Saccharomyces cerevisiae S288C: one gene and its partners. The gene in region 1 interacts genetically with each later gene. Each region holds a gene or a part of one and is shown in the gene's direction. Other genes may lie near its edges.

What was found.
Region 2: mutations in CHS3 (region 1) and CDC11 together harm fitness more than expected from each alone (negative genetic interaction), as found in Saccharomyces cerevisiae (4 studies listed by BioGRID, with this or other methods).
Region 3: mutations in CHS3 (region 1) and ANP1 together harm fitness more than expected from each alone (negative genetic interaction), as found in Saccharomyces cerevisiae (4 studies listed by BioGRID, with this or other methods).
Region 4: mutations in CHS3 (region 1) and VAN1 impair growth when combined (synthetic growth defect), as found in Saccharomyces cerevisiae (4 studies listed by BioGRID, with this or other methods).

The regions. Positions count from the first base shown.
Region 1 is NC_001134.8:281,349-291,364, reverse strand, and holds CHS3 (chitin synthase CHS3), read left to right. Parts: upstream 1-3,439; coding exon 3,440-6,937; downstream 6,938-10,016. Other genes in the region: OLA1 (Obg-like ATPase), read left to right, coding at 1-684; putative thioredoxin peroxidase SCO2, read right to left, coding at 1,015-1,920; POA1 (ADP-ribose 1''-phosphate phosphatase), read right to left, coding at 7,094-7,627; FUR4 (uracil permease), read right to left, coding at 8,021-9,922. UniProt on the Saccharomyces cerevisiae protein: Polymerizes chitin, a structural polymer of the cell wall and septum, by transferring the sugar moiety of UDP-GlcNAc to the non-reducing end of the growing chitin polymer.
Region 2 is NC_001142.9:574,854-578,671, reverse strand, and holds CDC11 (septin CDC11), read left to right. Parts: upstream 1-2,070; coding exon 2,071-3,318; downstream 3,319-3,818. Other genes in the region: MIR1 (Mir1p), read left to right, coding at 482-1,417; HOC1 (alpha-1,6-mannosyltransferase), read right to left, coding at 3,501-3,818. UniProt on the Saccharomyces cerevisiae protein: Septins are GTPases involved in cytokinesis that assemble early in the cell cycle as a patch at the incipient bud site and form a ring approximate 15 minutes before bud emergence, which transforms into an hour-glass shaped collar of cortical filaments that spans both sides of the mother-bud neck.
Region 3 is NC_001137.3:80,003-88,113, reverse strand, and holds ANP1 (Anp1p), read left to right. Parts: upstream 1-3,561; coding exon 3,562-5,064; downstream 5,065-8,111. Other genes in the region: MCM DNA helicase complex subunit MCM3, read right to left, coding at 1-1,177; MTC7 (Mtc7p), read right to left, coding at 1,516-1,935; HYP2 (translation elongation factor eIF-5A), read right to left, coding at 1,965-2,438; UTR5 (Utr5p), read left to right, coding at 2,569-3,069; RAD23 (Rad23p), read left to right, coding at 5,511-6,707; putative acireductone synthase UTR4, read right to left, coding at 6,969-7,652. UniProt on the Saccharomyces cerevisiae protein: Involved in the organization of the secretory pathway. Required to maintain a functional Golgi apparatus.
Region 4 is NC_001145.3:37,129-45,011, reverse strand, and holds VAN1 (Van1p), read left to right. Parts: upstream 1-3,217; coding exon 3,218-4,825; downstream 4,826-7,883. Other genes in the region: DAT1 (Dat1p), read right to left, coding at 221-967; TAF8 (Taf8p), read left to right, coding at 1,437-2,969; ATR1 (borate transporter), read right to left, coding at 5,188-6,816; NAB6 (Nab6p), read right to left, coding at 7,365-7,883. UniProt on the Saccharomyces cerevisiae protein: Involved in regulation of the phosphorylation of a number of proteins, some of which appear to be important in cell growth control.

The DNA.
Region 1 (10,016 bases):
GAAAAGATTGCCAAAAGAGGTGGTCAATCTTTGGAAGTCAAACAAAAGAAGGAAGAAATGGATTTGATTACGAAAATCATTAAATTGCTAGAGAGTGGTCAAAGAGTTGCTAATCACTCCTGGACTTCAAAAGAAGTTGAAATTATCAACTCCATGTTCTTGTTGACTGCTAAGCCATGTATCTATTTGATTAATTTATCTGAAAGAGATTACATCAGAAAGAAAAACAAGCATCTGCTAAGAATCAAGGAATGGGTAGACAAGTACTCTCCAGGTGACTTGATCATTCCATTCAGTGTTTCTCTAGAAGAAAGACTATCTCATATGTCCCCAGAAGATGCTGAAGAAGAATTGAAGAAACTGCAGACAATATCTGCCTTGCCAAAGATTATCACTACCATGAGACAAAAGTTAGATTTGATTTCCTTTTTCACCTGCGGTCCAGATGAAGTTCGTGAATGGACCATCAGAAGAGGTACTAAAGCTCCACAAGCTGCTGGTGTTATTCATAACGATTTAATGAATACCTTTATTTTGGCTCAAGTTATGAAATGTGAAGATGTCTTCGAATATAAGGACGATTCTGCCATCAAGGCCGCTGGTAAGTTGATGCAAAAGGGTAAAGACTATGTCGTTGAAGACGGTGATATCATTTACTTCAGAGCTGGTGCTGGTAAGAATTGATTTCGTGCACTAAAGTTGACTTTTCTTTATTTGGTTTAGTTCCCTACTATATATCATCATAGAAATTTTCAACATGATTTTCTTGAAAGAGAAACGAAAGGAAAAAAGCAATCTCGCGAGTGGATGGCATCGGATTTTATGTATGTGTGTATGTATGTTTATTATTCCCGCATGTTTACGCCCTTAAGCCCAATTAATAATTTGAACTGACAAGCATAATCATTTGACTTTCATTTTTTTTACTATTTTTTTCTATTTACAATGTAACTGTTAAATTGAACGACCCATAAGTTCGGTATCCTAGCTGTGTCTTTTTCTTTTTTTTTTTGCTCAATTGAAGATAAAAGAGTACCATTTTTTTGACCTACGCTCCCGTTCTTCCTTTGGCACATACGCCTGAATTTGTTCACGAATCTTTTCGAGACCAGATTGCTCATCGTAGTTTCTTCCCAACGCATCGATAAACTGTCCTTCAGGGTCGATCAAATAGAAAAATATCGAATGGTCCACTAAGTAATCCTGGTTGGGCTTGACATCACGTGGAGTTGAAAAATATACCTTGTATTTTTTGCATACGCTTTTCACTTGGTCGTACGTACCGGTTAAACCAATGATAGCTGGGTGAAAATCGCTTAAGTACTCTTTCAAGACATCCGGTGTATCTCTTGCAGGATCACATGAGATAAACAATGGCTGTATCTTTATATGGTCTTTATCATCTAATTCAGAAATCCAATACGTTAATCTGTCAAGCTCTTCTGGACAAATGTCGGGGCAATGACTGAATCCAAAGTATAAAATGGAAAACTTACCCTTCAAATTCTCCTCAGTGAAAGGCTTACCATTAAAATCTGTTAAATTGAAAGGACCGCCAAGTGCTACTGAACCGTAAGCTCTGTTAGCATCTGCTTCCTTTTCAGTTTCTAGCAAGCGTCTTTTTCTTGATAAATAGGCATACGTCCCACCACTTAGCAACAATAGAGCAATGGTGGCCTTCCATCTGGAAAATTGAAAAAACCTGGTTCTAATAGGCTCTGGTTCATTGATTTCATCACCTAGTTGTAGCCTATCTAGTGGTTGTCTTGCACTTGGGCTTTCCTTGTTATCACTCCTCAAACAACATCCCGTTGAAAACCCTCTTCGATATGCGCCTCCATTATAAAAGAGTCCTTTTATTGAGACGTTCGCTTGTCTGAATAGGGAACGACAAGCATATTTTCTTGAACTATTCAACATTTTACTCTCGCTTCCCAAATTCCCCTTTCTATGGTGATATTATAAAAGATCCTGTAAGCTGCTGTTTTACGAAGGTATTGTAGACGATCCGTAGCCCTCTTTAGCAATTGTTTGACTACTATCGATGGGACTTCTCGAAATTCATACTTTGTTAGGTTTTCTTTTTTATCCCTAAAAAGAGCGAAAGGATCAAGCAGAAAATTAAAACAATAGGCTACATCATCGAAGTTTCAAAGACCGGCATATCCGTCCATTTTTGAAAACACCCCACCCAAAATTGTAACTATCGACAGATTCTATGATAGCTACCCCGGGATGAAGGGCAGTCTTCTATAACTTGGGGCGGCAAGCAAACCAACCGTCATAGTTAATAAACCACACGTTGGTTATTTAGATTTCTCGTCCTGCTTTTCTGTCGCCAATAGGGCAACCTTAGAAAAGGTTTGAGGATAGTGACTACATGCAATCAAGGTAAAAGCGTTATCGAATAAGTAACAAGCATTCCGTGCTAAATTGACGAGAATTGGCAAGATGCGTCAGCACTATTTGGAGCAAACACACCAACTGGATGTCTTAAAAGTCAATTCAACGACCAATTTATGTAACCAGCGTGACTAGGGCAACGAATTTACGTCTTTTTTCTAAACTGCATATGCTATGAAATTAAAGATATACTGCCTCTATAAAAACATTTATATTTTCCCTCCTTTGCAATGGAAATGAAAACGGCGGTAAAAAAATTCGTGAGAATAAAGAGACGAGTACAAAAGTTCAATTAAAAACGCCAGGAACTGTTCTTTATCTTATTCTCTCCGTACGCTGTGTCACAAAGCTCTTGTATTGTGTCTCGCTTTCTTTTTCCAGATCTATGAAACCAGAATCACACCGCAGCAGCGACGGCTGTACCGTATTTAAGAGAATCCGCATGGGAAAAGATTACAAATTACCCTAGACAAATTTATAGAAGCGGTGCTTGTGAGATTTACTCACATTCTAGGATTCGAGAACTAAGCATTGTAGTTCTTATTTACATCCTTGAACAAATACCTGCCTATCTCCGCACGTACTACGTAGCCACAAATGTATATATAATCGTGCGTTGTATTTGCGCCCTCACCCACATATTTGACATGTGCATGAGACTGGATATTTCTTGAAGCATATTCAATAGCGTCGATGGACAGTTAGCCCGCAGTTGTATTGCATTCAGCACCTGCATAGGTGACCCTCTTTGGCTGCCTATTTGGATAAAACGCGTTATTGGCGCTGGCGCAGACCTCGAAAAAAAAAATCAAAAATGAAAATAAGAGCATAAAAATAGAAATCAAAAATATTCTTTCCTGTGTTTCAGATTTACATTCAGTACCAACATTTCGACTTGTAGTAAATCCTGCTAGAAGAATCACATTGGTAGACGGTTATAAACGTTTACCGATTTGCAAAGTTCTCGAGTATTTTTGGTGTAGGTCCCATTTTCTTCAAAGGTCCTGTTTAGACTATCCGCAGGAAAGAAATTAGAATGACCGGCTTGAATGGAGATGATCCTGATGACTACTATCTGAACCTTAATCAAGATGAAGAGTCTCTACTTAGGTCAAGACACAGTGTCGGCTCAGGAGCACCTCATAGACAAGGCTCTTTAGTGCGGCCCGAAAGAAGCCGACTGAACAATCCTGATAATCCACATTTTTATTATGCGCAGAAAACGCAGGAGCAGATGAATCACCTGGATGTTTTACCATCAAGTACCGGTGTAAACCCAAATGCAACTCGTCGGAGTGGCTCCCTGCGCTCCAAAGGCTCAGTGAGAAGCAAATTTAGTGGCCGCGAAACGGATAGCTATCTTTTACAAGATATGAATACTACTGACAAGAAGGCTTCCGTTAAAATAAGTGATGAAGGTGTTGCGGAAGACGAATTTGATAAAGATGGTGATGTGGACAATTTCGAAGAAAGCTCCACGCAGCCCATAAATAAGTCTATCAAACCATTAAGAAAGGAAACGAATGATACATTGTCATTTTGGCAGATGTACTGTTATTTCATTACGTTTTGGGCACCTGCTCCAATTCTTGCTTTCTGCGGGATGCCAAAGAAGGAAAGACAAATGGCGTGGAGAGAAAAGGTTGCTTTAATTTCTGTCATCTTGTACATTGGTGCGATTGTGGCTTTCCTGACTTTTGGTTTCACTAAAACCGTTTGTAGTAGTTCGAAACTACGTTTGAAAAACAACGAAGTATCAACAGAATTTGTCGTAATTAACGGTAAGGCTTATGAATTGGATACTTCCTCGCGTTCCGGTATACAAGACGTTGAAGTAGATTCAGACACCCTTTATGGGCCCTGGTCAGATGCTGGTAAAGATGCTTCGTTCTTGTTTCAAAATGTGAATGGTAACTGTCATAACCTTATAACTCCAAAGAGTAATTCTTCCATTCCCCATGACGATGATAATAATTTAGCATGGTATTTTCCTTGTAAGTTAAAGAATCAAGATGGCTCTTCGAAGCCAAACTTCACAGTTGAAAATTACGCAGGATGGAACTGTCATACGTCTAAAGAAGATAGGGACGCATTTTACGGTTTAAAGTCGAAAGCTGATGTTTACTTCACTTGGGATGGTATAAAGAACTCTTCTAGAAACTTGATTGTTTATAATGGCGACGTTTTGGATTTAGATCTTCTTGATTGGTTGGAAAAGGATGACGTTGACTATCCCGTTGTATTCGATGACTTGAAGACTTCAAATTTACAAGGTTATGATCTTTCGTTGGTTTTGTCAAATGGGCATGAAAGAAAAATTGCGAGATGTTTGAGCGAAATTATTAAAGTTGGTGAAGTAGACTCCAAAACCGTCGGTTGTATTGCCTCTGATGTCGTTTTGTATGTTTCTCTGGTATTTATTCTTTCAGTGGTGATAATTAAATTCATAATTGCCTGCTACTTCCGTTGGACTGTAGCTAGGAAACAAGGTGCATATATCGTGGACAATAAAACAATGGATAAACACACAAACGATATCGAGGATTGGTCTAATAATATTCAAACAAAAGCTCCTCTAAAGGAAGTAGATCCTCATTTGAGGCCAAAGAAATACTCAAAAAAGTCGTTGGGACACAAGCGTGCTTCAACCTTTGACTTGCTGAAAAAACACAGCTCCAAAATGTTTCAATTTAACGAATCTGTGATAGATCTAGACACCTCCATGAGCAGTTCACTACAATCTTCTGGTTCATACAGAGGAATGACAACAATGACCACTCAAAATGCTTGGAAACTCTCGAATGAAAACAAAGCTGTACATTCCCGTAATCCATCTACTTTGTTGCCTACATCCTCGATGTTTTGGAATAAAGCGACTTCCTCTCCTGTACCAGGATCATCGCTGATTCAGAGTCTTGATTCGACGATTATACATCCCGATATCGTTCAACAACCACCACTGGATTTTATGCCATACGGGTTCCCATTGATTCATACTATCTGTTTTGTTACTTGTTATTCTGAGGATGAAGAGGGTTTAAGAACCACTTTAGACTCTCTTTCTACCACAGATTATCCAAATTCCCATAAACTACTGATGGTTGTTTGTGATGGTTTAATTAAGGGCTCGGGCAACGATAAGACTACTCCAGAGATAGCGTTAGGAATGATGGACGACTTTGTCACCCCACCTGATGAAGTTAAACCTTACTCCTATGTGGCAGTGGCATCAGGCTCTAAAAGACACAATATGGCCAAGATATATGCGGGTTTTTACAAATATGACGATTCTACAATTCCACCAGAAAATCAACAACGTGTCCCAATCATTACAATTGTGAAGTGCGGTACTCCTGCAGAGCAGGGGGCCGCCAAACCCGGTAACAGAGGTAAGCGTGATTCTCAAATTATTCTGATGTCCTTTTTAGAAAAAATAACATTTGATGAAAGAATGACTCAATTGGAATTTCAGCTTTTAAAAAATATTTGGCAGATTACGGGGCTAATGGCAGACTTCTACGAAACGGTACTTATGGTTGATGCTGATACTAAAGTCTTTCCCGATGCTTTAACTCATATGGTCGCTGAAATGGTTAAAGATCCTTTGATTATGGGTCTTTGTGGTGAGACCAAGATCGCTAATAAGGCACAATCTTGGGTAACTGCAATTCAAGTGTTTGAGTACTATATTTCGCATCATCAGGCTAAAGCTTTTGAATCTGTCTTCGGTTCGGTAACTTGTTTGCCGGGATGTTTCTCAATGTATCGTATAAAATCTCCTAAAGGTTCAGATGGTTATTGGGTACCTGTATTGGCAAATCCAGATATTGTTGAAAGATATTCGGATAATGTTACAAACACTTTGCATAAGAAGAACTTATTATTACTTGGTGAAGATAGATTTTTATCTTCATTAATGTTAAAGACTTTCCCTAAGAGAAAGCAAGTATTTGTTCCAAAAGCTGCTTGTAAAACTATTGCCCCTGATAAATTCAAAGTCTTACTTTCCCAGCGTCGAAGATGGATTAATTCTACGGTACATAACCTTTTTGAATTAGTTCTAATCAGAGACTTATGTGGCACTTTCTGTTTTTCCATGCAATTTGTGATTGGTATTGAATTGATTGGTACTATGGTACTGCCGTTAGCCATTTGCTTTACTATTTATGTCATTATTTTTGCCATTGTATCAAAACCTACACCCGTAATCACTTTAGTTTTACTGGCAATTATTCTTGGTCTGCCCGGCTTAATTGTTGTTATAACTGCTACGAGATGGTCGTACCTATGGTGGATGTGCGTATATATTTGTGCTTTGCCTATTTGGAATTTCGTACTACCTTCATATGCGTACTGGAAATTTGATGACTTCTCATGGGGTGATACGAGAACTATTGCGGGAGGTAATAAAAAGGCACAAGACGAGAATGAAGGTGAATTTGATCACTCAAAGATTAAAATGAGGACATGGAGGGAATTTGAAAGGGAAGATATTCTCAATCGGAAGGAGGAAAGTGACTCCTTCGTTGCATAGACAGTATGAAAATATTTTTACTGTGATACTTACAAGTTGATATATGGTTGTGTGTAACTTATTTATTTGAGAGGTATTTTAACACACCTTAGAACTAAAACTTAATAAATAAATATTTCTCTATCTTTAAAGGCACATATTACGTGGCTAAGGCAATTACAGCTGATATACTGTAAAACTCATGTCGCCACTAAATTCTTCTAACACGCGTTCTGTCTCTTTCCAAGGGACTCCGAATATGCCACTATTTATCTGTGGCATTTCCAATTTATATTCCCCTATTGGGTATTTGATGTGGCCGTTTAAATAGTCACCGATTGAATCTTCACTTGTTCGAGTTTTGTCTTTTGCTTCTCTAAAGGTCTTCAATTTATCTAAAGCAAGTTTTGTATAATTCAAAATACTTTGCTTTTCTCCATGACTTGAACCTCCAAATGATGATGTAAACAAGCAACAAATCAGCAGATCTGAGTTTTCGTAACTGGGAAGTAATATGCATTTGCCTAGTAAATTAGAACCATACTTTTCGCATACTTCAACGTAATCTTTCTCTGCTTTTGGGTAGCGCAAAGCAAGTTGATAAGCGATCCCACCACCCCACGAGCCATTGCAGTTGCAAGAATGGATGAGGATCCTAGCATATGACTTTGGTTTTAAGATGTTACCTTTGACATAAGTGATGTTCGACATACCTGTAACTTGATGCTATATTTATCTTGGAGAAGATACTAATAAACTCAAACTTTTCGTGTAGAAATCTGGGCTTCAAGTTCGCATAGCATAACGAATCGTAAAGTTATGCATATGGCATAATACAACAATTATCCATTTTTTCTCGTGTGTAAAAAGAGAAAGGAGAGAGGAAAGAACGCTAAGCCATAAAGCAAACAAAAAATCGAATGAAAGTGAGTGAATATATTAAAACCAGTGAAATTAATGCTCATTGAAGGCCAAATGCACAAAGTAAATGCTAAAGAGAACGTAAATAGAAGTAAGTAGTATAGATAAGGATTAATATCATTACACATGAAAATTTGAAAAATATTTCAGATTAATGCAGAAAGTGATGTAGATATGGAGAGCTTAAATGAAAGTCTTTTCGTGTTCGTGTTCGTAGACACTAATATTGTCATCTACCAGGTCATCCCTCTCAATTGTGTCTTTCCACTCTTCTTCAAAATCATCGACATTGGCCCATCTTTGGAACCAGCCCTTGTCCTTTATAATGTTGTTAACAGGGCACCCAGGTACAGGGAAGAAGTAACACAGAGCAGTATAAGAAGAAAAACTCAAGCCATATCCTACCCAGTAACTTAGGTAATATAGTTTCATAGCTCCATCAGAAACCTTTATAGCGGGAGCGCCCACCTCCGCGATGAAACCGGGCAAGCAAGGAGCCACCCCACATAGATATGCAGCCAAAGCTCTCCAATTGATACCAAACCTGTTTCCGTACATATAAAAAGAGCCCTTTTGATGGGAATATATGTGTGTTAGCTTGATATATCCTCTTCTAACAACAAAGTAATCTGAGCAGACAACACCGGCAATACTGGACAAAAAGATAGCATATGCGGACAAAGCCATTGTAAATTTACTTGATGTTGCCATTAAATTCCATGGACAAATACACAGCGCCATGGCTGCACAAAATAATGAACCACGCTTGATATTGATAAACTTGGGGAAAATAGCGGACATATCAGTTCCACACGATAATGAGTTTGCAGAAATATTAGTACCTAACTGAGCTACGGCGAAAACAAAAGAGATTAAGAAAACACCAGCTCTTGTGCCCTTATTATAAGTAGTCTGTAAAAATTTTTCTAGCACATCGAGTGGCGACCAGTAATTAATACCGTATATTTCATAACCAGCTGCGGTGACTAGAATTCCAATTAAACAAGTGATGGAAAACAAAAATGGAATGCACACTAATTGGGACCATAAAGCGGAGTTAGGGTTTTTTGAAAATCTAGAGAAATCTGGAGCGTTGATTACCATTGTGGAGAAATTAGCCATACAACCCATTAGTGATCTTAGAAAAGCCCACGAAAAGGCAGAGCCATGAGGTTGTACATCGGTTAAAGATCCTAAGGCAATACGCCCGTGAGCTCTTCTGATAGCCCAAATTAAGAAACCAAAAGAAGCAAACGGAACCAAGACGGCTTTAACAGTAAACAGGTGTCTAATTTTGTGAGGTGGAACCAGTAAAAATGGAAGACTGGCAGCCCAAAAGATAAAAAAACACATGAACTCGTAAGTAGTAGCATTCGGTGATCCAAAGTGATCTGGGATTTTGTCTTGTAAATCTTTTCCAAAGATAGATTTCAGCATTAATGATACGGGAGTTGCCGCAATATAAGCTTGGACACTATACCAAACGATGGCCATGACGACTCTGTTAATAACGGGCCATAAAGAGAAGAAAATACCGAATGATGCTCTAGATGATATAGGGAATGACAAATGATAAGCAGATCCAACTCTAGAGGCCAAAACAACAAAAGCACCAACGAAACCGTACCCAATCCAAATTGTTATCCAACACTGCCACCAATTTAGACCCAGTTGTAGACCTGTAGCTGCAATTTGCCAAGTGTTGATATTGAAACATTCAGCAAGCCAGAAGTAACAATAATTGTACCAGGACCAAACCCGCCTTTCTTTTTCGACGGGCTTCAAGTCCTGGTTGTACATAAATGAATCCAGAATAGAAACACCCAAGATTGATTTGTCAACGACCACATATTCATAATAGATTTTCTTCCAGAATGAGCTGTATTGAGGTTTTTCTGAGCTTACTTTTTCTTCAAAGCTCGATGCCTCATAAACTTCGGTAGTTATATTACTCTGAGATGACTTATACTCTTTTTCCAAATCCACATTATTTGGCGCAAAGGTCTCATTGGAAGATTCCATAAGTTGGCGAGAGTTCAATCTTTTTGAAGAGCCGCTTAAATGTAATGATAGATTGTCTGGCATTATTCCCTCCTATTCTTATTATGCGTAGGAATGTCTTCGAACCGAAAGATCTTCTCTATGGGGTATGCTTTAGAGTGAAATTAAGAAAGGAGTT
Region 2 (3,818 bases), on another chromosome or scaffold:
AATTAAGCAGCACAAGTGTCTGGCGCAATGCCTGACTACTGGGAAAAGTCGAAGCATTTGCACGGCGTCCATTACGATGGTTAAGGCAGTTTACGACGAATTGCGGAGTCAAGTTTTAATATTTATAGATAGCCCTGTCACCAGTATCGGGTGTTGTTTCTACCCAAGCGCCTGCCAGCCTCAAACAATACAACAGGTATTGTTTTTGGACAGCGGAATGCTGCGATGCAACAGTATCGCAGCATGGTACTGCTTTCCTCTAGTCTTTTGTCGAATGTGAGCAAGCAGCAGCTGAGACTCTGCCCAACCATCGTTAGCCAATCAGCGTCGAGAACGGGTCCCATGCCCGGCCGCGGCCCGTTTCGAGAAGATTTTTAAGTGCGATCCATCCTCCCGATCTTTTTATCTACAAGAACCATCGCAAAGAACAGAGTGATCTGCAAGAAGAAGAACTACAAAGATCAAAAAGTCTCATCTCACCATGTCTGTGTCTGCTGCTCCTGCTATTCCACAGTACTCTGTCTCTGACTACATGAAATTCGCCCTAGCCGGCGCCATAGGGTGCGGGTCGACTCACTCCAGTATGGTCCCGATCGATGTCGTTAAGACGAGAATCCAACTGGAACCTACCGTGTACAACAAGGGTATGGTCGGCTCTTTCAAGCAAATCATCGCCGGAGAAGGTGCTGGTGCGTTGTTGACCGGGTTTGGTCCTACTTTGTTGGGTTACTCTATCCAAGGTGCCTTCAAGTTCGGTGGTTACGAAGTGTTCAAGAAGTTCTTCATTGACAACTTGGGTTACGATACCGCCTCTCGCTACAAGAACTCTGTTTACATGGGTTCTGCTGCCATGGCCGAATTCTTGGCAGACATTGCCTTGTGTCCCCTAGAAGCCACTAGAATCAGATTGGTCTCCCAACCACAGTTCGCTAATGGACTCGTCGGAGGGTTTTCCAGAATTTTGAAAGAAGAAGGTATCGGCTCTTTCTACAGTGGGTTCACTCCAATTTTGTTCAAGCAAATTCCTTACAACATTGCTAAATTCTTGGTCTTTGAACGTGCCTCCGAGTTCTACTACGGGTTCGCCGGTCCAAAAGAAAAATTGTCCTCTACTTCCACTACTTTGTTGAATTTGCTTTCCGGTTTGACTGCTGGTTTGGCCGCTGCCATTGTTTCCCAGCCAGCAGACACTCTGTTGTCCAAGGTCAACAAGACTAAGAAGGCTCCTGGCCAATCCACAGTCGGTTTGTTGGCTCAGTTGGCCAAACAGTTAGGATTTTTCGGTTCCTTTGCTGGGTTGCCTACTCGTTTGGTCATGGTTGGTACCTTGACCTCCTTGCAATTTGGTATTTATGGTTCTTTAAAGAGCACTTTGGGTTGCCCACCAACCATTGAAATTGGTGGTGGTGGTCATTAGAAATGGTCTTGATTGATACATGCATATATATTCTCTCCTCATCACCACCGGAGCCCCTTTTTTTTTTCATATTCTAAGAAAGAGTCAACAAAGGAAAGAAATAAATAAATCTGTTTAAATGTACTCTATTCAATCACTAGTATTCTTATTCCATGTATTTACTGACTTTGCAAAAGTCCAAATATCTGTAAATTAACATGCTATTATAAATATATATATATATATATATTTGAATTTTCTATTTTTTCATCTACAAAAGCAGGTTATAGCTCCGTTAAACCCTTTGCTCATTGAATTGTCCTTCACGGTTTTTTGGTGGAAAACACAACATGGAACATAACATTTAAACATCGTTCTCAATCCATTTCATCGCAGTAACATATTTGGTCGGGCACATACGGACACGTATATGTTATACAGATAAATATAGCTTAAATATGGCTATATTTACACAACACAATGCTCGTGGGTCGTTACCCGACCATGCAGGATCGCCAGTATTCTTTATTTTTCCGCCTTCTAACATAAAGAAAAATAAACAAAAAAGTATTTGATCGAAAAGTAAAATAGGTAGACACCACGTATTGGCGACCCGATCTGGAGCCGTTTAGAAAGTCAATCATCACAAGGCCTAAAGTTGCTAACCACCAGCCATGTCCGGAATAATTGACGCATCTTCTGCATTAAGAAAAAGAAAGCATTTGAAAAGAGGTATAACCTTCACTGTGATGATCGTGGGCCAGTCCGGATCTGGTAGATCGACTTTTATAAATACTTTGTGCGGTCAGCAAGTTGTAGACACTTCGACGACAATCTTGTTACCCACAGATACGTCCACAGAAATAGACTTACAATTGAGAGAGGAGACGGTCGAATTAGAAGATGATGAAGGTGTCAAGATTCAACTTAATATCATCGATACTCCGGGATTCGGTGATTCTCTCGACAATTCTCCATCTTTCGAAATCATTTCCGACTACATTCGCCACCAATATGATGAAATCTTATTGGAAGAAAGTCGTGTGAGAAGAAACCCAAGATTTAAGGACGGCAGAGTTCATTGTTGTCTTTACTTAATCAACCCAACTGGCCACGGTTTAAAAGAGATTGATGTGGAATTCATCAGACAGTTGGGATCCTTAGTTAACATCATCCCTGTGATCAGCAAATCAGATTCCTTGACAAGAGATGAACTGAAACTGAATAAAAAATTGATCATGGAGGATATCGACAGATGGAACTTGCCAATTTATAATTTCCCTTTCGATGAAGATGAAATATCAGACGAAGATTACGAAACCAATATGTACCTACGTACACTTCTACCTTTTGCTATTATTGGATCCAATGAAGTTTACGAAATGGGCGGCGATGTTGGGACAATTCGTGGCAGAAAGTATCCATGGGGCATACTGGACGTGGAAGATTCATCGATCTCTGATTTTGTTATCTTAAGGAATGCGTTATTGATCTCTCATTTACATGACTTGAAAAACTACACACATGAGATATTATATGAAAGATATAGAACCGAGGCATTATCAGGTGAATCTGTCGCGGCAGAATCCATACGTCCAAATCTGACAAAATTGAATGGTTCGTCGTCATCGTCCACCACAACAAGGAGAAACACAAATCCCTTCAAGCAAAGTAATAATATTAATAACGATGTTCTCAACCCAGCATCCGATATGCACGGGCAAAGCACTGGCGAAAATAACGAAACCTACATGACACGTGAGGAGCAAATACGGTTAGAAGAAGAGCGACTAAAGGCATTTGAGGAGAGAGTTCAGCAAGAACTGCTGTTGAAAAGACAAGAACTGTTGCAAAGAGAAAAGGAATTAAGAGAAATTGAAGCCAGGTTGGAAAAAGAGGCGAAAATCAAACAGGAAGAATGAGTCCGCTTTTGGCTTCCTCACTTATTTCTTCTTTCTCTATATATATAAAGAGTGAGTGTTGTATATAAGTAAATACATCTGGTATATTATTTTTTTTTTTTCTTCATTCTTAAAAAGTATTAATATCGATCAGCAAAAAAAAATTAACAAAAAAGTTCCTTATTATATCTGCGTAGAAGTACTTATTTCTGCTCCACCTTTGGAGTATTTTTCCAAAATTGTGATGCCAAATGAGTAATGAAATAGAATTTCTTGTGTGGATCGTCATTATCGATTTGGTTTGGACAGTTAAAGGAGAATTTTGGAAAGACCAGAACATCACTTAGCAATTTTGGTTGATTTAGGTTATGGAATAATTTCCATGTAACCTTCTCCCTGACACCACTTCTCATAAAGTCATTGAAATACGTGAAAATAGTGTCAGTCCACAACCCAGAACCCGTCCAACTCATAATATTCAGATCATTCCTTAGATTGACGTTTAGTTGGTCGTCCCTCTT
Region 3 (8,111 bases), on another chromosome or scaffold:
AATTTTTCTCCACACCTCCCATGAGCATCAATAAAATGGCTTTCTTTATATGGTCATGTCCATAAATAGAAGGCGCTAAAGATTGAGACAAGATATCGAAAATGTCCTTTTTTTTGGATAGTTTATTGATATTTCTTATATCGAAATCTGTCAACATTTGTCTCGCAGCGACACCCGTGGATCTGGCGTGGAGAGGATACACCGTATTACCTAGGATCAGAGTTTTGAACCCGATCAATGTATTAGAGTTGGACTGGTTCATGCCACCAGCACCAAGCGACTTGAATACCCCGACAACGTTAACTCTGTCACCTGGCTTGGTCTTGTCCACAAGGTCGTCATCGAGAATGACGTCAATGGACCTGGGAAGTTGGCCAGCGGGGGCCATTTCGGGCATTTCTTGCACAGTGATACGCTGATGGTCTATGAACGTACTATACCCATATTCGGTGGTTAGTTTGTTACCTTCAGTGTCCTCCGTTGGATAGATGGCAGGCGTTGGGATGCGGGTGGTGAGAGTTGTAGTAGCATCTGTATAATCTCTGTAATGGAATCTACCAGTCTTTGCCGCGTAGTGGACAGATCTGATAAGCTTTGGCCTGACCAACGAAGTCTTAGTTACGATACCCTCAACAGAGACCAGTTTGTTTAAATGTTGTGCCGTTAGAGTACGAGGAGACAATGCGTGTGCACCAAATGAGCCTTTGAACGAAAGCTTCCAAGGATGGCGAGACGATACTGCAGAGGCATTGGGATGTGGAACATCGTCCATGGAATCTGCTAGGTCAGTAAGCGCCTTTTCGGCAGGCGGGATGAAGTATGCTGGTTCGACTAAAATGCCCGACCAGAACGACCTGTCGAATTCTCTCAAGTCATCAAGCGAGATGATAATCCTGTGAGGGAGTATATTCAATGAGGTGGACGATGCTGCTTTCTTTTCCTTTTCAAGATCATCACCGTCGTCATCACCTAGCAAATCTCGTTCGTCTGCGTCATCTTGATCATCGTTGTAGTTGGCCGCGTTATTGCTGTTGTAAACTTGTATGGACCTTACAGAGTCTCTGTATGAGGTGAAAGTATCTAAAAACTCTTGAAATCTGCGCACTCTGTCACCAAACACAGCGTCTGGAGCGAAAAAAGTAGTAGCGTCTCCATCAAATCCCGTTGAGCCTTCCATAATTGACGTTTGTATCTTTTTGGTGCGCTTATAGTGGAGTTCAATACGAGCAGTAGGATGAAAATGCTTCAAGGAAAAGAGCGTAGGCCTTTTCAACTTGAAAGAAGATTAAGAACCTATCTTTCGAGTTTTGACCAAATTTTTCTTTTTTTTCCTAAAACACGAGTTTTTACCCATTTAGGAAAAGTAATTGTTTCTTCTACCGCCTCGATCTGACGAACAAGGGAAATTGAAAAAAAAGAGAAAAATAACGACAACTGCAGGACTCGAACCTGCGCGGGCAAAGCCCAAAAGATTTCTAATCTTTCGCCTTAACCACTCGGCCAAGTTGCCATAACTCATTGAAAATTCTGTTTCCCACATAGGTCAAAACTAATATTTCCCTTGGCCTGCTCTTCAACCTCCCCCGTTCTGAGAGTTCCCTTTTTTTTTTTTTTTTTTTTTTTTTGAGGGGGAAGCGCCGGATTTGCCACCGACCGGCTGCTTGCAGCCGGTAGATATGCGCACATGAAAATCATCCTCCCCAATGAATTACACTGCCTGCATAAGGAAAAAGAAAAGTGTGAAATACGAATAAAAACAAAGTATATTATTGCTATATAGATGATAAATAACAAAATAAATAGAAAATAAAAAAAAGGATTTATTTGTGTATGCTTTAGGAGAACGAAAAAAAAATTGCAAAGAAAAAAACCCGGTTCAGCGAAGAGTACATGATGTGATGGAAGGGGCGTCGGAGTTTTTTTTTCTTTTTTCATTTATATCCCATGCCATGATGTTAACCGGTTTAATCGGTTCTAGCAGCTTCCTTGAAGGAGATGGCGGCTTCTTCACCCATAGCGGAGATGATGGTAACCATCAAGTCCTTACCTTCATCAAAAGCAGTTTGCAAACTGTCACCCAATTCACCTTCTGGAGCCTTGACATCATCCTTAGTGTCACCGTCCATGTTCATCAAAGACAAGAAACCGTCATCAATGTCCAACAATTGGTATTCGTTTCTCTTGACAACTGGAACTTCCATGTTGTGAGTAGATGGAGACAAATCTTCCAACTTCTTACCAGTGAAGATATCAATGGCAACCAAATGGACTTTAGCGTGACCGTGCTTACCAGTCTTAGAAGTGGACATGTCGACAATCTTACATGGTCTACTCTTGATGACAACGAAACCGTTCTTTCTCAAGGCAGAACATTGCATTGGGTAGGTGGCGGAGGAACCAGCGTCAGCAGTTTCAAAGGTATGTTCTTCGTCAGACATTGTATATATGAGTTGGTATTTGTGTGTGTTTGGGAGTCTATGAGTAATTGGCTACAGAAGTAGAATCGTTAGAAAGAAGGAAAGGAAGCAATTGATAGAAGGAGAGGAATTTAGGAAATGAGGGATTCCAATGTCAAGATATGGCAAAAACCTTGTGCATTATATAATCGTGGAACACGACGATCAACGCGGCCAAAAGCCGATCGACGACGACGACGAAAAAAATTTTTATTACCACTGTTCCTTCACCTTCGAAACTTTTTTTCGGGCGACGGCGTTTCTTTTAGCTCCTGCGGTATGTGCGGTGCGGGAGGTCCCTTGTCGCCTCACACGGACCCGATATAACGCTACGGAATACATCGAGGGGTATGGGTGGATGATATCACTGCAGCAAGGTCTGGGTGTTGCAGAATTTTACCGGCCTTGGCCCCTCAGCGTCCAGCTACAGCGTTATACTACTCCAAGTCGCCGTTCCCGTTTTGCTGTTCTCACCCCTCAGAGAAAATGCCACCAGAACGAAGCCAATGGTCAGGACTTATCGTTACTTATACTGTTGAGCCGGATATATCCGCTGTGCTCTAATACCAGCCAAACGAGAAGGGTAGCGGCAAGAAAGGGTAAACTTTCATGATGAAGTTAGCTAGTTCCTTTTACGATTGCTACTATCTCGTTCAACTTGGCCTGCGCTGTTGATGAAAATAGCAGTGACTGCAGAGAATAGAAATGAACCGGGCTCATCTGGTCTAGTTGCCTTCTTTTTTTTATTTTTTTTCATTTTCCTTTTCTTTTCTTTTCTTTTCTTGTCTCACTATGTTGGTTTAATCAATTCGTAATCCCTTTACCAACGCATTGTGTTCAATTTTCCTCTTGTGTGGGGTCGCCCGCCTTGTCTCATCGTGAAAAAATTGCGTAAGATGAAATCATGAAAACATGAAATAAAAAAAATAAATAAAAATAACTACACGATTCAAAAACGCCAAGATCTGTTAGTAGAGACAGCAAGCATTGCAAAACCATTCATCACTCAGTTGCTAGGCGAGTGTTGGTGCGATTTACCCTCATCATCTTTTTTTCGCTCCATTAAACAGTTCCTTGTGGCTTTCATGCAAAGTGTACGTCCATAATGAAGTATAATAACAGAAAACTCTCGTTCAACCCTACCACAGTAAGTATCGCTGGAACGTTGCTTACGGTGTTCTTTCTCACAAGACTCGTGCTTTCGTTCTTCTCGATATCGCTATTCCAGCTGGTAACTTTCCAAGGAATCTTCAAGCCCTATGTTCCAGATTTTAAAAATACTCCCAGCGTAGAGTTCTACGACCTACGAAATTACCAAGGCAACAAAGATGGTTGGCAACAGGGTGACCGCATCTTGTTTTGCGTGCCACTGAGAGATGCTTCTGAGCATCTTCCCATGTTTTTTAACCATCTGAATACCATGACATATCCGCACAACCTGATTGATCTGTCGTTTTTGGTGAGTGACTCTTCGGATAACACCATGGGCGTGTTACTATCCAATCTACAGATGGCGCAATCGCAACAAGACAAGTCCAAAAGGTTTGGTAACATCGAAATCTATGAGAAGGACTTCGGCCAAATCATTGGTCAGTCCTTTTCTGATCGTCACGGGTTTGGCGCCCAGGGCCCCAGAAGAAAGCTGATGGCCAGGGCTCGTAATTGGCTTGGGTCCGTGGCCCTGAAACCATACCACTCCTGGGTTTACTGGAGAGACGTGGATGTCGAAACCATCCCCACTACCATCATGGAGGATCTAATGCATCACGACAAGGACGTCATTGTCCCCAACGTCTGGAGACCTTTACCAGACTGGCTGGGAAACATTCAACCCTACGATTTAAATTCATGGAAGGAATCAGAAGGGGGTCTTCAATTGGCGGATTCCCTAGACGAAGATGCTGTCATTGTGGAAGGGTACCCAGAGTACGCCACTTGGAGACCTCACCTGGCATACATGAGAGACCCAAACGGTAATCCAGAAGACGAAATGGAATTGGACGGTATTGGAGGGGTCTCGATTCTCGCGAAAGCTAAAGTATTCAGAACAGGCTCACACTTTCCTGCATTCTCCTTTGAAAAGCACGCAGAGACAGAAGCATTCGGTAGGCTCTCCCGCAGGATGAATTACAATGTCATCGGCTTGCCCCATTATGTCATCTGGCACATCTACGAACCTTCCAGCGACGACTTAAAGCACATGGCTTGGATGGCTGAAGAGGAGAAGCGGAAACTAGAAGAAGAGAGAATTCGCGAATTTTACAACAAGATCTGGGAGATTGGATTTGAAGATGTCAGAGACCAATGGAACGAAGAAAGAGATTCAATCTTAAAAAACATTGACTCCACTTTGAACAATAAAGTCACTGTAGACTGGTCTGAAGAGGGAGATGGCTCGGAGCTGGTGGACTCAAAGGGTGACTTTGTCTCACCAAACAACCAACAACAACAACAACAGCAACAACAACAACAACAGCAGCAGCAGCAACAGCAACAGCAACAACAGCTCGACGGCAACCCGCAGGGGAAACCTCTTGATGACAACGACAAGAACAAGAAAAAACATCCTAAAGAAGTTCCATTAGACTTCGACCCTGATAGAAACTAGGCTCGGTTTTTTAGTGACCTACATATGAAGTACGAATTCATATAGTTGTACATATATACCGATAATAATATCAAACCTCTATTCTTTGGTCTTTAACTTTTCTTTGAGTGAATTACAATACCATTGTTATATCAATCACTATACACGGCTCGGTGGCGAAATTGAAATTTTTTTATTTTCTTCTCTTTCATTATGGCTAGGCAAGAAATAGCGACAGCAAAACTTAAGAAAAAATGATAGAACAAGGTCCCATCCAGTATTGACTAGTAGCTAAAGCTAGAAGGTACACTTAGGTTTTTCTCCCTGTTTTTAAGTTTGAACCATTGATAAGGCCGTTCGCAGACAAGCTTGCTACCATCCAATTTTCCTTCCTCTAAAGACTTAATAAAGGCATCTAACTCCACCTTTAAATCACAGATCACACAAAGACAACATACAATAGAAAAATGGTTAGCTTAACCTTTAAAAATTTCAAGAAGGAAAAAGTTCCTTTAGATCTGGAACCTTCAAACACAATTTTAGAGACCAAGACCAAGCTTGCTCAATCCATTTCTTGTGAAGAATCTCAAATAAAACTGATCTACTCGGGTAAAGTGCTACAAGATTCCAAAACCGTATCGGAATGCGGGCTAAAAGATGGGGACCAAGTTGTCTTCATGGTTTCTCAAAAAAAGTCCACGAAGACCAAAGTAACAGAACCTCCAATTGCTCCTGAGAGCGCCACTACCCCCGGAAGAGAAAATTCTACAGAAGCATCCCCCAGTACGGATGCTTCTGCAGCTCCTGCAGCCACTGCTCCCGAAGGCTCACAACCGCAAGAAGAACAAACCGCCACTACAGAACGTACTGAATCTGCCTCTACACCGGGATTCGTGGTGGGAACCGAGAGGAACGAGACCATCGAGAGAATCATGGAAATGGGCTACCAAAGAGAGGAAGTCGAACGAGCCTTGAGAGCAGCCTTTAATAATCCAGATAGAGCGGTGGAATATCTACTGATGGGTATTCCAGAAAATCTGCGTCAACCGGAACCACAGCAACAAACAGCCGCCGCAGCGGAACAACCATCGACAGCCGCCACCACTGCGGAACAACCGGCTGAAGACGACTTATTTGCACAAGCTGCCCAAGGCGGTAATGCTTCATCCGGTGCGCTTGGCACAACTGGAGGAGCTACAGATGCTGCGCAAGGTGGACCTCCAGGTTCCATTGGCCTCACTGTAGAAGATTTACTATCGTTGAGACAGGTCGTTTCAGGTAACCCAGAAGCTTTAGCCCCATTGTTGGAAAACATAAGTGCTAGATATCCTCAATTACGTGAACATATCATGGCAAACCCAGAAGTGTTTGTGTCCATGTTGCTAGAAGCCGTGGGTGACAATATGCAAGATGTTATGGAAGGTGCGGATGATATGGTGGAAGGAGAGGATATAGAAGTTACAGGAGAGGCTGCTGCTGCAGGACTGGGACAAGGTGAAGGTGAAGGTTCTTTCCAAGTTGACTATACCCCCGAAGACGATCAAGCTATTTCGCGCCTCTGTGAATTGGGCTTTGAAAGAGATCTTGTTATCCAGGTGTATTTTGCGTGCGATAAAAACGAAGAAGCTGCAGCAAATATTCTATTCAGCGATCATGCCGACTGAGATTGTAGTAATGTTATGGCTTGAAGTATCTTCACTTATTCTCGACAATGTTGCATGATTTTTGAGCCAAGGGAAAAAAAAAGCTTACGTAGAAATCAATAACGTATGTGTATTTATATATGCTAGAAGGGAAAGAAAAGAAAACAGAGAGATGGTAATATTAATCTCAATAATAATAATAATAATAATAATAACAATAATAATAATAATAACAACAACAAATAATGATTATACTGCTTTTAGCGCATATATACAGTTTTGTTAAAGAGTTTCAAAATTCTTGTATACCTGGTACTTTTGCCCATCGGGGACAGGTGCATTACCAGGTCGGGAAGCTAACCCAGTAGCTATTCCAACGCCGGCCGCTGCGTCCAATTCCAATGGATTATCGCTCAAGAACAGTACCTCGCTAGCCTTCGCACCGATATCCCGCAAGATGTTGGCGTAAGACTGTGTTTCGGTTTTCTTTCCAGAAGTGTTGATGTCGAAATAACCATCTATATAAGAATTCAAATCCAACGAATCATGCGCAGGCGCGTTGGGATCCTGAACATACCCGAACAGCAATTTCTGTGCCTTTACAGATCCACTAGAGTAGATAAACACACGCTTCTTCCTCTTGATAAAGTCAATAGCATCTGCATAAACGGGCGCCTTAATCTGCCCAGATTCGTATCCGTGAGCCCAGACGTAGCCTTGCAACTGTTTCAAGATTGGATCCTTCACATCCTTGGCCACCAACTCCAAAATATGCGCCTGCAACTGCTCCTTATTGTCGATGTGAAACTGCGACAGAATGTTGGAAACCGGGGAGTCCCTTGTATCCTGTTGAACCAATTGCGGCACTTTATTCGTGAAATAAGGGAATAAAGTCTCCTTCACGAACGAGATCGGGCACACTGTCCCTTCAATATCAAGCAAGTAAGTCGAGTAATTGTCTCCCATTTTTGGTATACGAGCTAGCAGGACCTTTTGCCCAATGACCATTCCATATTCATCCCACTCACCACCGTCATCGTTGGTATTATTATTATCATTCCGCTTGAAGAAAAAGAAACGAAAAAAGAAATGGATCAGCAGCCGGGTTATAGCGCCCCTTATTGAATTATTTTCCTTCGTGCCTTCTCTGAGAAGGGTCTGCAGTCCCCCGCCGAGGGGTCTTTTCCCACCTTCTCAAAGCTAATAGCGATAATAGCGAGGGCATTTATTCAAGTTCCAACTACTATAAGTGGCCGCAAGGGGCAAAGACAAAGGCACACAACATATATATATATCGTGTTGTGAAGCTCGAGAAGATTAGATCAGAATAGTTCTCTTTTTGTTGAGGTTGAAACAAAATCAAAGACTTATACAAGAAGATCACATACAAGCATTTATTCACATTACTTTAAGTAAACTTCAGTA
Region 4 (7,883 bases), on another chromosome or scaffold:
TCTGGTATTCTTTTTCCTTTTCTTTCTAAAATTCTAGTTTTTCATGTTGTGCTTAATTAGGAAAAACAGTGAATTTGAACAGTTGCTGAAGTTGAGATCAGTCTTAAATATACATTGCTCAAAGAAGTACAAATACATATAAATATAAATATCTATGGTTTTCTCAACTAGTTATTATGTGGCATATACGAATGTTTTAGTGGTATGCTGGAAATGAATGTCATATGGTTGCGTTTTTCTCTGTAGAATCGGAATTCTTAGTGATATGTGCTGCCGGCGATGGTTGCGTCCGTGGCTGATTTGATGCTGCTGTGCTTGTGGACAGATCAAGATATGGTTTCACAATGAAAGGCCGCTGTAAGTAGTTGTAGGGCCCCATCAGGAAAGAAGATGACGGGTCTTGATTGCTCCCATTTATAGTAAAGTTCATGTTCACGTTCACGTTGCTGTTAAGGTTGTGGTTTGAATTATGATTAATGCTGTGGTCGGCGTTGTAATTTGAATTCACGTGGCCGCCAGAGTTTCCCGTTGAAGATAACAGGATCTTGTGGGTGATGAACGGCTTGGGCGGAACGACGTCCACTCTCTGTTGCTGTAGTAGTTGTTGCTGCTGCTGCTGCTGCTGTTGTTGTTGTTGATCCATGAATGACTGATGGGTATAATCCAGAGATGGAGGCAATGAAGTTGACGCCGCTGCTGCATGCGGCGGTGGTGCTGCTGATGAATTATGAGCTGAGTGAGACGACGGGCTGTGCGTCAACTCTCTCAGTGCGTCCACAGCTTCCATGTCCCTGGAACTAATAAGACGCGACTCCTGATCTTGCTGAGACCCGTCGGTCTCTTTACCCCCAGTATCTTGCCTCCTCCTCCTACCACTGCCAGGCTTTCTTCCCTCTCTCAACGTCTTCCCTTTTCCGGGCTTTCTGCCGCTTCCAGGTTTCCTTCCTTGTGCCAAAGTTTTCGCCATCACCCAATGTCCTGCTCCAATATACTTTAGGACAGTTTGTAGATTCACAAGGTGATCTGTTCAAAAACTCCACTGACAATAATAGAAATTTTTTTTTTTTCATTTTCTTTCAAAACTCATCACCAAAAAAAAAAAATTGATGCATTAGCATCGGCTTCATAAACGAAAAAAAAAAAAAGAAGTTGAAAAGAAAACATGATATAAATAGTTGCAAACTAAAGTAAGATAACTGAAGATGATTAGTCCTGTTTGCATACATAGTTCTGTTCTTGTTCTACGCTGATGCGATCAATAAAGTCGCTTGAAACGCGACTGGTAGAAGCCAGCTTAAGCACAAATGGTGTATATGGGAGTGTTACCCGATGCTTTTATGTAGAAAATCTTGAACTCTTTAAAAAAGAGAGTAAAAGCAATGGAGAGAGAGGCAAGCAAGCAAACAAACGTGTAATTGAGGGACTCATAAAGGGCAATGACTTCCAAAACGTCAGAAAGTGGTACCGGTACCCAAAGTACCATAGTTCAGCTGAGGAACCTACCGGATTTGACGGAAATTAGTCACTTGGAAATAGATGCTCCCGTAGTTGAAATTCTAAAGAAAACAGTACTTTTCCAGTTGAATTCGTTGAACATCTGCATTTCAAACTTTGCATTGGATGAGCTGGTCAACCTCGTGACCGTCCAAATGGACGGCATGTTTCGGAACCTGCACAATTTAACACTTTTACAAAGAAGGTCGCAAGCTTCTCAAGCAGATTTGAAATTGTTGCTTCGAGAGTTTAACCTGGATGCGCCCTCCCTTTATCAGCAGTTTCAGGCCTCAGAATTCATCAAATCGAAGCATTCCACGGAATATGAAAAATTGATGAGCTGGTCGTCTCTTGCTGCTTTACCGCATAACGAAGAAGATGAAGAGGACGAATTGAATAATATCGAGGAGCAACAGAACGAGATCAACGTTTTGCTGCCTCCCTCTAACCCACTGGAAAAACAGATACCGAGTTGGCTGCCCAACTTTCCGCCTGACCATACCTATAAGTTTACACCTGAGTTCAACCATCCAATTACTGATCTAAAAACCATCAAGAAAGAAATAGTAAAAGAAAGCCAAGAGTCTGAAAAGGCACTATTGAACTTGAACAAAAGTCTCTCCCACATATCATCAGCGTCAAATACCCCGCAACCGCCGGGTTTAGACGATGAGGACGCTATCGAGCAACAATTGGAGATTTGGGGCAACGCGCTGGAAGAAAGGAAACCAACCATAACTGAAAAGTCCTTCAATGAAAACAATATCGAGCAGTATGCGAAGTATAGAGTGGAATTGGCGAGAGAACGTGTCACGAAATTTGAAGTGAATCAGTTGAAAAGAACAAAAAATCCATTCTTGAAAATTTCTGAAACTCTCTACCTTCCAGAGAGTCCTCACCAGTCTCACAAAACCATACAAAAAACCATAGAATTGCAATTTCGTAAGTCTATGACACTATTCATGCACAATTTACCTAAGGTCCAGAAGTTGAAGAAGGAAAAAATACGAATGGCCAAGGAAGAAAGAGCAAAATCGCTAAAACGTCGGCAAGAAGAGCTTATTTCACAACGAACAAAGAGGGAACAAGATGAAGGCCATGATCTTGAGCTTCTACTAAATAACGAGCACGCAAGGGACGCTGCAGACGACACGACCACCCCTAATGCATTAAACAACTCTACCATAGTTATCAACACAAACGCCGAGGATGAGGACGATGACATAAACTTATTTGGCATCTTAGGGAGCAGTGAAGATGAGAATGAAATGTCGAGTATGCCTGCGGAGAACCTGGTCGCGGAATCGGAACCGCCAACAATGACAGCGCAAGATACTACAAATACTACACCTGTAGCACATAACACAACCAATATCGATGCTACTACAAGTCACTCTCCTCATTCGACGCCTAATGAAAACGCCCCGACATCTCCTCCTGCAGATATAGCCACAGATCACGATATAACTATGTAAACAACTGCTTTCAGTGAACCAGTGTTTGTCCCTAATATAATAATACGTATTCAATTTATCTCCGGAGAGGAATTTTTTTTTTTTTTTTTTTTCGTTCTTCGGCGACTATACCGAAACAAGGCTTGAAATATTTAGAATCAAAGAAAGTTTACGTCTTGTAAATTAGTAAATGGTAACGTGAAAGAAGTAGACGTAAGGGTGCAGTAACAGTCATTTGAGCTTGTTGACCTACCAATTAACACAAAAAAATGGGCATGTTTTTTAATTTAAGGTCAAATATAAAGAAGAAAGCCATGGACAATGGACTAAGCCTGCCCATTTCAAGGAACGGTAGCTCGAACAACATCAAGGACAAACGCTCAGAGCATAACTCCAACTCATTAAAGGGCAAATACAGGTACCAGCCGCGCTCCACACCGTCTAAATTCCAGCTTACGGTGAGTATCACATCTCTTATTATTATCGCCGTTCTGTCGTTATATCTCTTTATATCATTTCTCTCCGGAATGGGCATTGGTGTATCCACGCAAAATGGTAGGTCGTTGTTGGGTTCCTCAAAATCCTCCGAAAATTACAAGACTATCGACCTAGAAGATGAAGAATATTACGACTATGATTTTGAGGATATCGATCCTGAAGTGATTTCAAAATTTGATGATGGTGTGCAACATTATCTAATATCACAATTTGGTTCAGAAGTGTTGACTCCCAAGGATGATGAAAAATACCAAAGGGAACTCAACATGCTTTTTGATTCCACTGTTGAGGAGTACGACCTGTCGAATTTTGAAGGTGCTCCGAATGGATTGGAAACACGTGATCACATTCTTTTATGCATTCCACTAAGAAACGCTGCGGATGTATTGCCATTAATGTTCAAGCATTTAATGAACCTAACCTATCCACACGAGCTGATTGATCTGGCCTTTTTAGTCAGTGATTGCTCAGAAGGTGACACTACGTTGGATGCTTTAATAGCGTATTCTAGGCACTTACAAAATGGCACGTTGTCTCAGATTTTTCAAGAGATTGACGCTGTCATTGATTCGCAAACAAAAGGCACCGATAAATTATATCTTAAATATATGGACGAAGGTTATATCAACCGTGTCCACCAGGCATTTTCACCACCATTCCATGAAAATTATGACAAGCCATTTAGATCAGTACAAATTTTCCAAAAGGATTTTGGCCAAGTAATTGGACAAGGTTTTAGTGACAGACATGCCGTTAAGGTTCAAGGTATAAGACGAAAACTAATGGGGAGGGCAAGAAATTGGTTAACTGCCAATGCTTTGAAACCTTACCACTCATGGGTTTATTGGAGAGATGCTGATGTAGAGCTGTGCCCTGGTTCAGTCATTCAAGATTTGATGAGCAAAAACTACGATGTTATCGTCCCTAACGTTTGGAGACCACTACCTACATTTTTGGGAACTGAACAACCATATGATTTGAATTCTTGGATGGAATCTCAGGAGGCACTAGCATTGGCAAAGACTCTTGACGAAGATGATGTTATTGTAGAAGGCTATGCAGAATATCCTACGTGGAGAGTTCACTTAGCCTATATCAGAGATGCAGAAGGTGATCCAAATGAAGCGGTGGACTTGGACGGTGTAGGGGGAGTTTCTATTTTGGCGAAGGCCAAAATATTTAGAAACGGGGTACAGTTTCCTGCATTTACTTTTGAAAATCATGCAGAAACAGAAGCATTTGGTAAAATGGCAAAGAAAATGGGGTACAGGGTTGGTGGTTTACCGCATTATACTATTTGGCATATTTATGAACCGAGCGATGACGATTTGAAGGAAATTGCGTCAAGGGAAAGAGAGAAGAGAAGACAATCAGAGTAAGAATCATGATGACATTTAATATTAATTTAATTTAATTTAATTTTTTGTTTTGTTTTATTTCGTTTTGTTTTTTTGTTCGGTATTGATTTTTCTTCTTTTAATCCTCTTCAATGGATTGAAAAATATATATTATGTAGAGTAAATAAAAGACCTCTTAAGGATAAGGGGTAACCTGGGATCTGGTTACAGTTCAAGGCTTCGTTATTAGGGAGCGAACAATAAAGATTAAAGGGTACTAAAAATTGTACTATTACTAGTTGCATGTTGAGATATGAAGACTTTCAGTGTCTAAATGCCCCATGTCTATATAATCGCATGACAGCGGTGTATTTCTATCTATTTACCTTAATAACCGCTTTCCGCTAAGCCACAGTGCAATCGTATTCTGCAGCAGCTCTTGCCCTGCGGCCTTTTATGAAGCTTTCGACCATGTAAAGCCCGCTAATCATGCATGCTAAACTTGCCAATCCTATCCCAAGGTACTGAGCACCTCTATAGCCTTTCAAAAGATGCTTTCCGTCTGAATTGACCTGTGTCTCTACTGTGGCACCCATACCGAGACACAAGGACATGGAGTAATTGACAACAGTATTCACCAATGACCCAGCCATGCCTTGGTACTCCATCGGTAAATTATCACTAAAGATAATGGAAGAAGCAGGAAATGAAAGATCCATCCCAAAACTTAAAATTATCATCGTTCCTAACTGAGTACGAAAGTATGTCTCGTGAACCGGTGTAACACTTGCCATTATTGAGCCCACATTGAATGCTACCATAGAAAAGAACAAAAACACTGATGGAGACACATTCTTGATAGTAAATCCTACCAGTAAGGCGGCAATAATACCCCAAATTAAAAACATAAAGTAAGTTCCACCAGCCCATAATGCCGTGTACTGCCTTATATTTAATTGAAATTGGAAATAATAAAACGTAAAGATGCCAAAAGAGCCCCATCCAAAGAATAAAGCCAGCATAATTTGAATCATATGACGATCCTTTATAACTGCGCGCGGCAATAGTGGAGTCTTGGCAAATCGAATCTCATAAATGATGAAAACGACAAGAAAAATCACAGAAATGATTAAAATTACGATGATGTAAGCCTGGTTCCAACCCGATATAGGAGCTTGGTTCCACACAAAATTTAATAAAATGAGACCTATCACGCCCAAAACAGAACCAATCCAATCCATAGAAAAATGATGAATATTTGTTGGTATAGTACTCGGAATGGCATATATGGAGAGCACAAAATTAATGAAAGCGGCTATGCTATACGCGTAGAATGCCCATGGCCATTGTTTTGGGTCCTCGGTACCGATCAGTCCTGCAAAAAGACAACCTAAAGTTGCTCCAATAGGGGCCATCGCACCAACAAAACTAATCACGATGTTTTTACGAAAAGTACCACCTACATATATATTACCAATTATTCCCAGCACATTAGGTAAAACAAATGCAATCCCTAGCCCTTGGAAGGCTCTACTAATAATAAAAAAAGTATCGCTACCAGAATACTTGGTAATCCCACAAATCAAAGACCATATAATAACCAGAACATATCCTACTAACAACATTTTTTTTAATCCGTATATGTCACCTAGTCTGCCACTAATCAAAATAAATGAGCCTGAAACTAGCGGAAAAGATGCCATCAGCCATGACTTTGAGTTTCCTTCTGAGCCAAAACTGTCCGAAAGAATATTCATGATCGAAAGAGTCTGTGTAGTGCCTGCTTGATTTAGAAGCTGACTTATCATGCATGTGAATATAAAAAGATATTCTTGCCATGCATATTTAAAATAGTTTGGGTTCTGCCATTTCTGATTGCTATCTACCATTTCATCTTCAGACTGCGTAAAAGCTGTTGCTGTTAAAGATTCTCCGATATTATTATCTCGTGACGATTTTTTAACAGGTAGTTCTGTCTCATTCTCATACTCACCCTTACTTTCCGTAAGCACAACTAATGACTGATTGCCCATTATTATTACCTGTTTGAGATTCTCTAATTGCCTCTCTTTTTACAATCGTACACTTTGAAAATGTTGTTTTAAACTTAGAATATGCATTTTATTCATTTTATAAAAACGTCTCATTCTTCAGACGTTTATAAACAACTGTAATAGTGTCAACTTTTATATAAAGGTCATCTTACCTGAAAAGTGTAAGTTCTGAAGGTAGAGAAGAGGTCAAGGCAGACAGGATCCTGCGGCTTGACGTCGTCGCTAACGAAACGAAGTAGAAAAAAATTAACAGGTTTGAGTCAGAGAAAATTATCGTTCCACATTGGTGACTCGGTCATTAAGACAACAAGTGCCGGCAATAAATCGCTTACGTAATCTGTGGCAGAATGAACAGGTTAGGTGCATAATACCGCCATTCCATTAGTAATCACTATATTATTTAGTTTATACAAAGAAATCGGAGAAAAAAAGGGAGAAACACCTTGGCAGGCCGCCTTAGGCTTCCTTGGGCTTTGTCTAAATAGTCCGATGGATATGCATTATACTTCAGGCTCAGCACAGCTATACTACTCGTCAGGATGCGTGTTGTCTTCCGCAGAGGCGCCCAAAATATTGGCTGCATACATAAATGTCGAATGTTGCACTTGTGCAAGGTATTGGGCCATGACGTCAGATCCTGGTATCGTTCTATGCCTTGCAAAAGATCCTCTCTTCTTCTTTCTGTTATTTGCTGTTTCGCCATTTGTGAAAATATCTTGCATTGGCGTTTCGTTGTTCTTCGAGTGATTATATGACAAAGTTGAGGGAGCTCTTGGAGGAGCTTGTCTTAATGACGACCTATAATTGAGCTGTGACATTCCTACGGCTTCTTCCTCGTCTTCTATCTTTACTGGTCTCTTACTATTAATGACGGTCTGACTCGAGCTTCTTAGAGTTTGTGATTTTAAAGCGTATTCAGGATCGCTCGGGGAGTGCATAATGACCTCGACGTCTGATGACGAGTCGGAAGATCCCGATGACTTGTTAAATATATCTTCATAATCAGTTTCATCCGATGTCGCACGTTTGACGTCAGAGCTCGCCAC